Anolis sagrei: one gene and its partners. The protein of the gene in region 2 purifies or fractionates together with the protein of the main gene of each other region. This does not show direct contact. Links are inferred from orthologs where the notes say so. Each region holds a gene or a part of one and is shown on either strand. Other genes may lie near its edges. The genes, in order: RAF1, PIN1 and POLR2D.

Evidence for each region.
Region 1: the proteins of PIN1 (region 2) and RAF1 purify together in Homo sapiens (co-immunoprecipitation; 3 studies listed by BioGRID and IntAct, with this or other methods). This does not show direct contact. The link is inferred for Anolis sagrei from reciprocal best matches to the Homo sapiens genes PIN1 and RAF1.
Region 3: the proteins of PIN1 (region 2) and POLR2D purify together in Homo sapiens (co-immunoprecipitation; 3 studies listed by BioGRID and IntAct, with this or other methods). This does not show direct contact. The link is inferred for Anolis sagrei from reciprocal best matches to the Homo sapiens genes PIN1 and POLR2D.

What each region holds. Positions count from the first base shown.
Region 1 is NC_090022.1:64,264,042-64,268,077, forward strand, and holds the start of RAF1 (RAF proto-oncogene serine/threonine-protein kinase), read left to right. Parts: upstream 1-885; 5' UTR 886-1,048; intron 1,049-4,036. UniProt on the Homo sapiens protein: Serine/threonine-protein kinase that acts as a regulatory link between the membrane-associated Ras GTPases and the MAPK/ERK cascade, and this critical regulatory link functions as a switch determining cell fate decisions including proliferation, differentiation, apoptosis, survival and oncogenic transformation.
Region 2 is NC_090022.1:147,610,029-147,614,064, forward strand, and holds the start of PIN1 (peptidyl-prolyl cis-trans isomerase NIMA-interacting 1), read left to right. Parts: upstream 1-1,200; 5' UTR 1,201-1,258; coding exon 1,259-1,316; intron 1,317-4,036. UniProt on the Homo sapiens protein: Peptidyl-prolyl cis/trans isomerase (PPIase) that binds to and isomerizes specific phosphorylated Ser/Thr-Pro (pSer/Thr-Pro) motifs.
Region 3 is NC_090023.1:220,845,174-220,849,209, forward strand, and holds the start of POLR2D (DNA-directed RNA polymerase II subunit RPB4), read left to right. Parts: upstream 1-1,093; 5' UTR 1,094-1,135; coding exon 1,136-1,208; intron 1,209-3,573; coding exon 3,574-3,754; intron 3,755-4,036. UniProt on the Homo sapiens protein: Core component of RNA polymerase II (Pol II), a DNA-dependent RNA polymerase which synthesizes mRNA precursors and many functional non-coding RNAs using the four ribonucleoside triphosphates as substrates.

The DNA of each region.
Region 1 (4,036 bases), about 83 Mb from region 2:
TTAACACTGAATGAGACAGGATGGCTATTCTGGCCTCTTCAGTGGGATAGCACCCTATGCCATGCTGTGTCCACACTTCAACACTTACTTTCCTGACTGCATATTGCTGTATTGCAGCAGCCCGGTCCTACCTAATCTCATTCACAGGAAGAGGATGATATGAATTGTGGTCCAATTCATGCCAAGTTTCGGAAAACTGCTTTACTGGAACTCTTGCTCTCCCTTGCACCAATGAACCACATAGTCACAATTTATTTCTCCATGGCCCCTTCGCTCAGTACAAATATAGCACCATGATTGTACTTTAATTTTTCATGGCTCTATCTTCTGGAATCTTGGGATTTGCAGTTAATGGAGAAATATCAAATAGCTAGAGTGCTATAGTGCCATTGACTGAATTACTATTCCCTTCTTTAAGTCTTCATTTCAAGTGGAGTTTTCAGATACTTTTGTTTCACCCAGCATAGTAAAGCTGATGCCCTCAGCAGTATGCTGATGGAGGCCCGTAATTCCTGGCACTCAGAAGCCTGAGATCCTGTTACATGGATGGTGTCATGCAACCTCTGAAAGCCACTGTATTATATTGACAATCTAAAAATAAAAGAGTGAGAAAAGCAGAAAGCCAAAGCAAGCAAAACATGCTATTAAAATGGAGCCAGAGAGGGGACAAGAGAAGGGAGTGTTTCAAGGGAGGGCTCTGTGGCATGTAGCTCCTCCAAAGAAAACGTGAATAGACTGGAGGTTATTTGGCTGTTGGGGGGTAGGTGGGTGGTCTTTTTTTAGGCTGTTGCAGCCATGTGATCTACCAGAGTGCCTGGCTAATCTGCATGGGAATCTGGGGGTGGGAAACTGAGCTGTCCATCTCAATCGGGCTCTTCCTCCCATCTGCCTCCTTGGAGTCAACATCCACTGCACCTTCTTTTCGGTTCTGCCTAGGCTCTTTTGCTGCTTATTAATCCTTGAAGCAAACTGGATGGCCCTGTATGCAGCCTTTCCAATTAACTTTTAATCGGCCTTTGAAAAGTTCATGCTTTCAAAACTTCAATAGGTAAGTGAAAATTTGGCTGAAGACTACTGTGTAGTAAACAATAATTCTCACAGTCTTTCCAGTCTGGGGTATATTTTCTTGTTAAGTCTTGAAAGTGGGATGATAGCTCTGTTTACACTTTGTCAGAGCAAAAGGCAAAAAGTCTCTACTAGATAAATAATGAGTTCTCAAACCGGCAAGGAATTACAACTTTGTGGTGATTGTAATATGTTTTGTGATTATTTATTGATCTGATTCATTCCTGAGAAGAAATTAGTACATATTAAGTGGTTGTGGATCTTTACATTGTGTTCCCCAATTATGCCTTTAGATTACTATAATTATTAAAACTGGTATTTGCTCTTCATTGGAGTAACTTATTTTGTCACTGACATATTTTTATTGAAGTTTTTTTAAAAAAAAATCTAATTAAGTCTGGGAGACTTGGCTTCTGTCTGAGAAAATCCCAGAGCTGTCTATAGAGAGAAGTAATCATTTTCACACATGGTAATTAGACAGTGTTTACATGTAATGCCTGTATTTGTAATTGAGGCATCAAATTTAATTTTTAGGCCAGTACATTAAACTGAGGGGAAAGAGGCTGGAGTTACAATACGTCTCTAGAAATTACTTTTGCAAAGAGTATGAGAACCTAGAAACATATTCATCTATTAAACAAGTATTTCTGTATCACCTCCCAGCTTACAAGGGGTGAATAAAATCAATTAAAACAATGCAAGGATAAAATGCTTAAAAACACATTAAAATGCTATTTTATAAAAAGCAGACTAAAAACAGCCCTAGATATCACTTGCTCTGTGCCAAAATTGCCCTTTGTCACATGTGGTCAAGCTTAGCAGTACTGAGTTTACCTGACCATATACAAAGTGCATAAGCTTTGGGGGGGAGGGGGGGGCTCTAAAACTATGAAATAGAGTCACGGTAGCCACATTAAAAAAAATGCCCCATGTTATGTGGAAGATACCATTTCAGTAGATACCACTTGACAAAACTCATTCTTCCATACAACTATTGTCCTCTTTTTCAGGTGGCCAGTCTTGCTGGTGTGTCCAGGACAAATGAAAGGATTTGAAACACCATTACTTTTAATGGATTAGTTTTACTTAATTTTTTTAAAGATAGTGTTCCAAACTCTATGCTAAATAGGTGATGCCCATTTAAACACAGAGAATCTAACTTGAAGAACAAACATGAGACACGGACTCTTTGTGGATGTGAGATGTAGCTCCTTCATTGCCATCTTTCCACAAAGTGATTTTCTGTCATCTGGCCAAGTGTTGAGTCATGGACCTGAGCTGGAGCAGAAAGATGACAAAGTGGGACCATTCCATAATCATAATCCCCATGACTATCTCGAACCTTAGCATGAATTCAAGGTGTTTGGGATAAACAGGGGTTTCAATTTCTGGATCTACCATAATCCCATCTATCCTGAAATTGGTTCTCGGTATACAACAGATTCATATTTTCTTATTTAAATTGAAGTTCATGGCAGATGCTTTCTACAGCTCAAGAGACCACCATATTAGTCTTTGTTGTTACTTTGCATTTAGTACCTGGAAGTTGCATTTCTGTAAACAGTACAGTTACCTCCCAGTTTCCACAAATTGATTTTGACATTTTATATAAATGATGCCATTTCACTACACCATTGTATGTAACGGAACTTGAGCATCTACAGATTTTGGTGACCAGTCTCTACAAGTGGCTCTGGAACCAAACCCCAGATGTGATCAATGACCCTTACAAAGGCCACAACTCAGCACAGACTTCAGTGCTTCGTAGTGGGATTCTATCACTGAGTTGGAATTCAAATACTGATCTCCCAAATATATGTGAGATTTTCACATATTTCACATACATTTCACATACATCTAATGAATCCTTATAACAAAACTTTACAGCTAGAATGAGGAACTTGGGAGTTTCCAGTACTTAATCAACGACTGCTTCCGTCATAGTTCAATTCATGTCAGGCTGACTGTGGCTGATGGGAATGCGAGTCTAGAAAGCTATAGAGGTCCACAGGTCCCCCGGTGTTTTCTAATGCACAGAGTTACAACTTAGTAATTGATGTTTTGTATTCAGGAGCTCCAAGTTTCCTTCTCTCGCAACACCAAGTAGAACTAGGGGAAAATCTGCATAAAATTCTGGAGAGCAGCTGCCACTCAAAATGGATGGGTTTTGGTTACATGAAGCAAGGGTCTGGTGCACTATAACATAGCTTGTGTTGTTTAAAATATCTTGTTAGTCTCGAGTCCCTTTTGGCAGAATATAAATAAATAAAATAAATAATCATCTTATGTTCTGATACCAGTCCAAAATTACTATCATCTCCATATTGCAGATGAGCAGAAAGGGTTGACGAAATAATACATCGTGAAGGGATGCTGATTTTAGCTGAAGTAACACTTTAAACAAGAGGCCTCTCTTGGTTTATCTCAGCCAAGGTCCTCCTATGGCTTTGCACTAAACTAATTCTAGACTGAGGTGGAAATCATGTAGTTTGAGATGATGTTGGATTACAGCAGTCCTAGCCAGTGGAGAAATGTTGGAATAATAACAACACTTGAAGTCTGCATGATTTCTGCTTTTGCTTTAGACATAGAAATTAGTTTGCAAACAAACAAAAAGATACATAGATTAGAGGCACAACATATATCTCTTTGGATTAACTGTTTATGTTGAGAAATATTAATTTCATGTGAGTGTTCCTCTGCATTTTGCAATGACACTCTGTGTAACATAAATAGAAATTGAAAATCTGTTTTCGCTACTGCTTGGAGCATGGCACAAAAGAGGCACTGATCCTTTAAATCAGCAGGTGGGAATTATCCTTCCTACAGAACAAACAGTTAACATTATACTTCTGTTGTGTCAGAAAGCATAACTTTGGACTACTAAATCTTTGAACTACACTTGCCAGAAGACCTATTTTATCTGCCCAATGCAACTGATGCATCACAGGAGTTTCAGTTCAAAACACCT
Region 2 (4,036 bases):
ACACAACCACATTTTGGTAACTCAGAACATCAATGCAGATAATCCACAATATCTGCTTTAAACTAGATTACCTGAGTCCACACTGACATATAATCCAGTTCAATGTTGATTTTATACAGCCTGTGTTGCAAAATGAGGGCCATGCCTAAAAGTGAGTCACCAACATGAAATGTTTGGAAAGCTGTGGTAGGATTATAAACAAACAACTGATTATAAACAAACAACTGAAAACGTGTTGTCAAAGGCTTTGGAAATCACTGGGTTGCTGTGAGTTTTCCAGCCTGTATGGCCATTTTCCAGAAGCATCCTGACGTTTCACCCACATCTATGGCAGGCATTCTCAGTTTTGAGGTCTGTTGGGAACTAGGTAAATGGGGTTTATATATCTGCGGAATACATATGCACCACAGATATATAGGGAAAAAAAACTTGTCTATTTGAGGCATATGTGATTGCTGCAATTAGCCACCTTGATTAGCATCGAAAAGCCTTGCAGCTTCAAGGCTTGGCCTCTTCCTGCCTGGAGGAATACTTTGTTGGGAGGTGATTAGCTGGCCCTGATTGTTTATTGTCGAATTCCTTTTTGAAAAATATATAATTTCTTAGATTTTTAAAACCACCTCCACACACACACATAAGTGCTTAAAAAGCAAACCAGCAGCAGCACCCTATATTATCTGCAGACAGGGGACATTTTACGACGCTACTGTGTGCAATGGGACTTGAGCCAAACCAAGGGGCCTACTGCATTTCCGAATTGCCTCCGCCCAAGAAGGCACTGGGATTGGTTTGCAGTAACGTTTCAAATGCGCATTTCCGAGCCAGAACTAATACGACTGGTGCCAATATTTCGATCAGCAGAGAGTTTGTCTTATTCCCGGTTCTGGAGGCCATTGGTGTACATCTGCAGTGCGGTGGTACGCTTCGACGTGGTGACTTGAGTAACCACGACGCCTATCCTTCCAATCCATACGCGACGGGGCTCTGTATAGCTTTCCAAAAGCTAAATGTGAGCGCTTTGCTTCGCGTCTGGCCTTTTTTGTCCCTTCGCAGCCTCCGTCGTCTCACCTTTGGCGTGCCAAGGCAGCCAAGTACCCTCTCTCGCGCGGTCTCTAGCTCTAGCCAATAGGAGCGCGACGTCTTCACCCAGTTGGCCAATCGTGAGAGAGGCCGCCGGAGCCATTGTGCGCGTGCGGGGTCGTTGCCAGGAGAAGTGGGCGTGGCCGCCTCTGCGCTTGGTGCTGTGAGAGGAGGGAAGATGGCGGAGGAGGAGAAGCTCCCCGCGGGCTGGGAGAAGCGCATGAGCCGCAGCTCCGGTACCGCCGTGGACTGGGAAGCGGGCGGGAGCGTGGGTGGGTGGGCACCGAGCTGTGGGGGCGTCCTGGGAGGGTGTCTGTGCGTGAAAGTCCGGCCTCGGGAAGAAGGAATGTCGGAAGGGAGCAGCCTTCCTAGTGACTTAGATTGAGGGGCCTGCGTGGCGGCCTTCCCCCCGAGAGAGTGTCGAAGGGGAAAAATCAGTTAATTAAATCAACAGGGATTACAAAGAAGGGTTTCCCCCCCTCTGCAAGAATGTAGGGGAAAGCTATGACGGGGAAAGGAGGGTTACTATCTGTGGCTCCTCAGAGATAAGCCAAACCCCATAGCAAAGAGTGGTGTTTCTGGGGGCTCTTTCTCTCCATTCTCATTTTGTATTTTCTTATACAGGCTGAGTCCCCCTTATTGGCAATTCTGAAATATACCAAATCCCAAAAATGTCCACGTTGGTGGCTGAGATAGTGATGCCTTTGCTGATGGTTCAATGAACACAAAACTTCGTTGCATTATTGCATACACAACATTATTAAAAAGTAGATTGTATAAAAATGAGCTCCAGACTATGTGTAGAAGGGGTATATGGAACATCTATGAATTTCGAGTTTAGACTTGGGTTCCATCTCCATGACATCTCATGTATGTGCAAGTATTCCATTCTGAAATCCAAAACACTTTTGGTCCCTTTCATTTTGGGTAAGGCAACTTACATCTCTCAGCCTTTATTCTCTTCGTTCCTCCCTGAATTGTGAAAGGCCAGGGCAATGTACAACCCTCTGCACTCTCAGCCATTCCTAGCACCTCTTTCTTTACTTACAGCTGTCCTTGCTGTCTTTGTGGACACTGTTTTTATATAATAAAAGTGAACTGATAATTAAGTGTTCTCATTTTATTTTTTTTATTGGTGTTTGCCTTGAATGAAGAGAAGAACTTCATGTCACTTGCTCATAAGGAGCCCCCTGCCCCCAAAGATCCAGGCCTTTCACAAAGGACATTTTTAGAGGTTGCTCTTATTATAACAGCAGATGTATGTAGATTTTAACTTTGCACTTTATCTAAATCCCTTTAAATTGTTTATGAATGAAGCTTTTTGGGTTGATCTATGAGCTAAAATTCTTATCAGAGCCTATTGGACCACATTTAGTTTTCTTTATCCAGGGGATTTGCAGCTGTTTTGGAATACATATTATTGCCCAGACTGATTATAGCTGCTGGTATTTGGCCTCATCACACTAGAGAAAAATCCACTTAAAATCTGGTTTCTGCCTCCAGAATTCTGGGGTATGCAGTTTAGGGAGAAGCCTCACTAAACTACAAACCCCAGAATTCTGCAGGAGGCAGAAACCAGATTTTAAGTGGATTTTTTCTCTAGTGTGATGAAGTGTTTGGATTCCAATACATTTAAAGACTCCTACATGCTAATGGCAAGCCTTTTTCTTTTGAACAGTAATTACATGGGCAGCCCATTCAGCTCATCAGTAGGATTTGATGGCAACATCCCAACCAAGAAATTAGTTCTTGATAGCATGCTGTCTTTAAACACTCACGCTGTACTTGGCCATTATGACTAATAGCATCTTACAAATCTCTCATCTGTCAGTTAGGTTAAGTTTCCTTTAAAGCAGTTGGGCAGGGACCATCACCATGTGTTGTGAAAGTAAATTTCCTAAGCCAGAAGTGGTAAAGCTCACACCTGGGACCAGACAGAAATTTCTGTCCTCACCTCCCTCAGATGGTCATGTCTCCTGTATTACATCATGCCCTCTTTTGCATTCTATATGCTAAAGTGTCTTTTATAATTCTTTGATAAAATATGCTGATATTTTGATCCCATCCTTTGTATCCACTAATCACTAGAAACACTTTTTGTATTTGAATTTGGACTCCAGGCTGGAAGACGTTTCTAATATCTGCTTGTAATGTGTTTTTTTGTAGTATAATCTATAGCATGTAAAAATCACTTGCCACACTCTGATGTTATGACAAACAGAAAATGCATCTTGACACTCTTCTTCTGAATCATAGAATCATAAGAGTTGGAAGGGACCACAGGGGCCATCCGGTCCAACTCCTTGCCATTCAGAAAAAGCACAGTCACTTTACTTCTATCCTTCCTTTTTCCAAGACCAAGATTTATGCTTACACATTAAAACATTTATAATTAAATACATAAAAAGTTATCATTAAAACCAAGTGAAACTATTAATCATGTTAAAAACATACACTCTAAAATGATTTTAATAGTTAATGCAATTCAAAGCAATACAGACAGTAAAGTCCTTTTTTTTTTTTTTGAAACCTTCAGTTCTAAAAGCCTATTGGAATAGAAAAAGCTTTGCCTGCTGATGAAAGCACAACAGCAAGGAGATGGCCATCCTGACCTCCTTAAGCAGGGACTTCCAAACTCTAGGGTTGCCCTTTCTCATATTACCTCTAATTATAACCTTTTAAGTGTGTAAATTTTTTGCAGCAACTCACATAGCTCCCCGCATCTTCCACTGTTCCTTACAGTTGACTATGTAGACTGATTGGAACTGTAGGCCTAAACTTGGGAAAGGCCATGGCTTCACCATTCTTGTGTTACATAATGTATTTGCTGTGATTTGTGTGTATATAACAGAGAAGGCAGGGGGTGTGGAGTGTTATTGCCATGACATGTGGTTACACATACATTAGAACTTACTTGCTATTTTCTTGTCTATTCACCAATGTGGAGAGATCCTTT
Region 3 (4,036 bases), on a different chromosome or scaffold from region 2:
AACTCCGCCAACAATGGAATTGAACCAAACTTGATACACGGCACCCCCTCGACCAATAGAAAATACTGGAAGGGTTTGGGGGGCATTGACCTTGAGTTTTGGAGTTGTAGTTCACATACATCCAGAGAGCACTGTGGACTCAAACAATGATGGATCTGGACCAAACTTGACAGAAATACTCTATATACCCAAATGTGAGCACTGGTGGATTGGGGAAAATAGACCTTGACATTTGGGAGTTGTAGTTGCTGGGATTGACAGTTCATGTACAATCAAAGAGCGTTTTGAACCCCACCAACAATGGAATTGGGCCAAACTTCTCACACAGAACTCCCATGACCAACAGAAAATACTGGAAGAGTTTGGTGGGCACTTACCTTGCAATTCACATACATCCAGAGAGCACTGTGGATCTGGACCAAACTTGGCATGAATATTCAATATGCCCAAATGTGAGCACTGGTGGAGTTTGAGGGAAATAGACCTTGACATTTGGGAGCTGTAATTGCTGGGATTTATAGTTCGCCTCTAATCAAAGAACATTCTGAACCCCACCGACAGAATTGAGGCAAACTTCCCACACAGAACTCCCACGACCAACAGAAAATGCTGGAAGAGTTTAGTGACCGTTGACCTTGAGTTTTAGAGTTGTAGTTCTGCTACATCCAGAGAGCACTGTGGACTCAAACAATGATGGATCTGGACCAAACTTGGCACAAATACTCAATATGCCCAAATGTGTGTACTGGTGGAGTTTGTGGGGAAATAGACATTTGGGAGTTGTAGTTGCTGGGATTTATAGTTCGCCTCCAATCAAAGAGCACTCTGAACCCCACCAATGATAGAATGGGGGCAAACTTCCCACACAGAATCCCCATGACCAACAGAAAATTTGCTGATGTCTTTGGAGACCCCTCTGACATCCCTCATGACTCCCTAGGGGTCCCGATCCCTAGGTTGAAAAACGCTGTGTCGGGGCACCCTGGACATTGAAACAAGGCACTGGGATTCATGCCACATGATGGTGACGGAAGAGCGCGTGTCCTCTCCCGCCCTCAAGGGGGCGCCCGCAGCAGAGGCTCGACTTCCCTTCTCTTCCCTTTTCTTGAGTTTCCGGGCTGTGGAAAGGCACTCAATGGCGGCCGGAGGGTCGGACGTGCGGGCCGTGGACGTGGAGGAAGACGCCTCCCAGCTGGTCTTCCCCAAAGGTGAGCGACTGGCTCCGAGGGAAGGGAAACGCCGTGGGCTTGGGAGGACATGGAAGTTGCTCCAGAGGAGGCAGACCTACGGGATCCTTTCAAAACAACACATGCAGTGTGCATCCAGGCAGTAGAATGAATGCAGTTTGGCCCCACTTGAACTGCCATGGCTCAGTCCTGTGGGAGGTGTAGTTTTTTCAAGGTCTTTAGGCTTCGCTGCGCAAGAGTGTTAGCACCACGTCAAACTACAGCTCCCAGGATGCCATAACACTCAGCTATGGCACTTAAATGGTGACAAAGTGCAGTGTAGATCAGGCATGGGCAAACTTGGGCCCTCCAGGTCTTTTGGACTTCAATTCCCATAATTCCTAACAGCCGTGAACTACCTGAAGATGTAGCTGATGTGATCGGGATAACAGTTTTATTAGCCACAGCCAATAGTCATATTACAATCTGTATAAATAAAAATATAACGTTTGTTTGTGGGATTAACATAACTCAAAACCCATAATAATAATAATAATAATAATAATAATAATAAACTTTATTTAACATCCCGCCACCATCTCCCCAATGGGGACTCGGGATGGCTTACATGAGGCCAAGCCCAACAGCATATTATAATAAAGTAAACAATAACAACCCAGTAAAATACATACAACATATGAATACAAAAACGATAAAACAAAATAATTTGTTTTAAATAACATAACAATGAGCGGGCCGCATGTGCAAGATAAAACTGACTTGGCCACAGTGGTCCACGCTTTGGTTACATCCAGTTTAGATTACTGCAACGTGGGGTTGCCTATGAAGACTGCCCGGAAGCTCCAACTAGTCCAACATGCGGCAGCCAGAATGCTAACACGAGCAGGGTACAGGGAGCATACTACTCTTCTGTTGCGCCAGCTCCACTGGCTGCCAATTAGCTTCCAAGCACAATTCAAAGTGCTGGTGTTAACCTATAAAGCCCTAAACGTCTCCGGCCCAGTTTACCTGTCCGAATGTATTCTCACCTATGAACCATCTAGGTTGTTAAGATCGTCTGGAGGCCACCACCGAGAAGGACCTGTCCCTCGTCCTGCTCTCGGTCCCACCGGCCTCTCAGGCGCGTCTGGTGGGGACGAGGGACAGGTCCGTCTCGGTGGTGGCCCCTCGACTCTGGAACTCTATCCCACTGGAGATCAGAACTGCCCCCTCCATTCTGTCATTCAGAAAATGGGTGAAAACCTGGCTATGGGGTTTGGCTTTCGACGAGTAAATCAATATTTCTGTGATCGGATAGATGATGATGAATGATGGACAACGAATTCACTATGACGACTGACCATTGTTATTATGTGATTGCATTTTGCTGTTATAACGTTTTAATTGAATATGTTATATGATGTTTTTAATTATTGTTTTGTGATTTTATTGTTGGAAACCGGCTCGAGTCCCCTGATAGAGGGGAGAAGACCGGTATACAAAATTGCTAAATAAATAAATAAACTAGATACCAAAAATACTAAAATCAGGATGAGATAGAGATGGAGCAGATTGTTTGTGGGGAAGAAACTCGTAAGGAACGGGGTCATAAATATAGACCTTCATACAGGTGGGGAAATATACTCTGGGGACAAAAACCGCTGAGGGGGAGCAACTGTGTAATACCCAGTGGACAATTGGACACAATACACCTATCAGGGCAACAAGTGACCATCACTCATAAAAATACTGGAAAACACAGCAGAACAGACTTAAAAAGCAAAAAAAAATTTAAAAAAATACATTACAATGGATGTGCACTTATATACACATAAACACAAATATATATACACACAAAGCACATATACACAGACTGGGCCACAGCAGTGCGTGGCAGGGGATGGCTAGTCTTTATCAATTAAAATGTAGTGTTCATTTGTAAGATTAACATAACTCAAAAACCACTGGGCAAATTGAGACCAAATTTGGACACAATACACCTATCAGGCCAACGAGTGACCATCACCCATAAAAACACTGGAAAACACAGCAGAAAAGACTTAAAAAGCAAAAAAAACAGCAACATTGCAACGCATGCGTGAAACCACATATATACACATATACACATACATACATACACAAAACACATATTCACAGACTGGGCCACAGCAACGTGTGGCAGAGGATGGCTAGTTTGTTTATATATTTTATATTCTGTGCATATTCTGGATATTTCTCTTTAGTATTTTTCATAGGATCAGTCATATTATTGTTTTTCTCATTTTTGTTAATAACCTTAAGTACTACCACCTATTCCTGCTTCACACACAGACCAATCCTAAAATAGCACCCATAAAGCTGTCTTTTTCTGTTTCTTTTGATCCGTTCCACCCATCTTTACCTACAGAGTTTGAGACTGCTGAAACCCTTCTCAATTCAGAAGTGCACATGCTTCTTGAACATCGAAAGCAGCAGAATGAGAGTGCAGAAGATGAGCAGGAGCTCTCTGAAGTCTTCATGAAAACGCTGAACTACACCGCTCGCTTCAGCCGCTTCAAAAACCGGGAGACGATTGCTAGCGTTCGCAGGTATGTAATCCTGAGAATAAAATCTTTTGTCATTAGCCAACGTGACAACTAATGTAGAACATCATAATAATACTGACCAGTAGTGCCTCTGTTTTGTCTAGATTTACCTTTAGCTTATTAGCCCTCGCCGAGTCAATTACTGAAGACAGGCACAAGTTTAGGGGCAGGACGGCACCCTAGGCTTTCGCTGGAAATGAGTAATACAATTGGGTGTCATCAGCGTAAATTTGACATCAAACTCCAAAACTCCAGATGATCTCTCCCAGCAGCTTCCCTAATAGT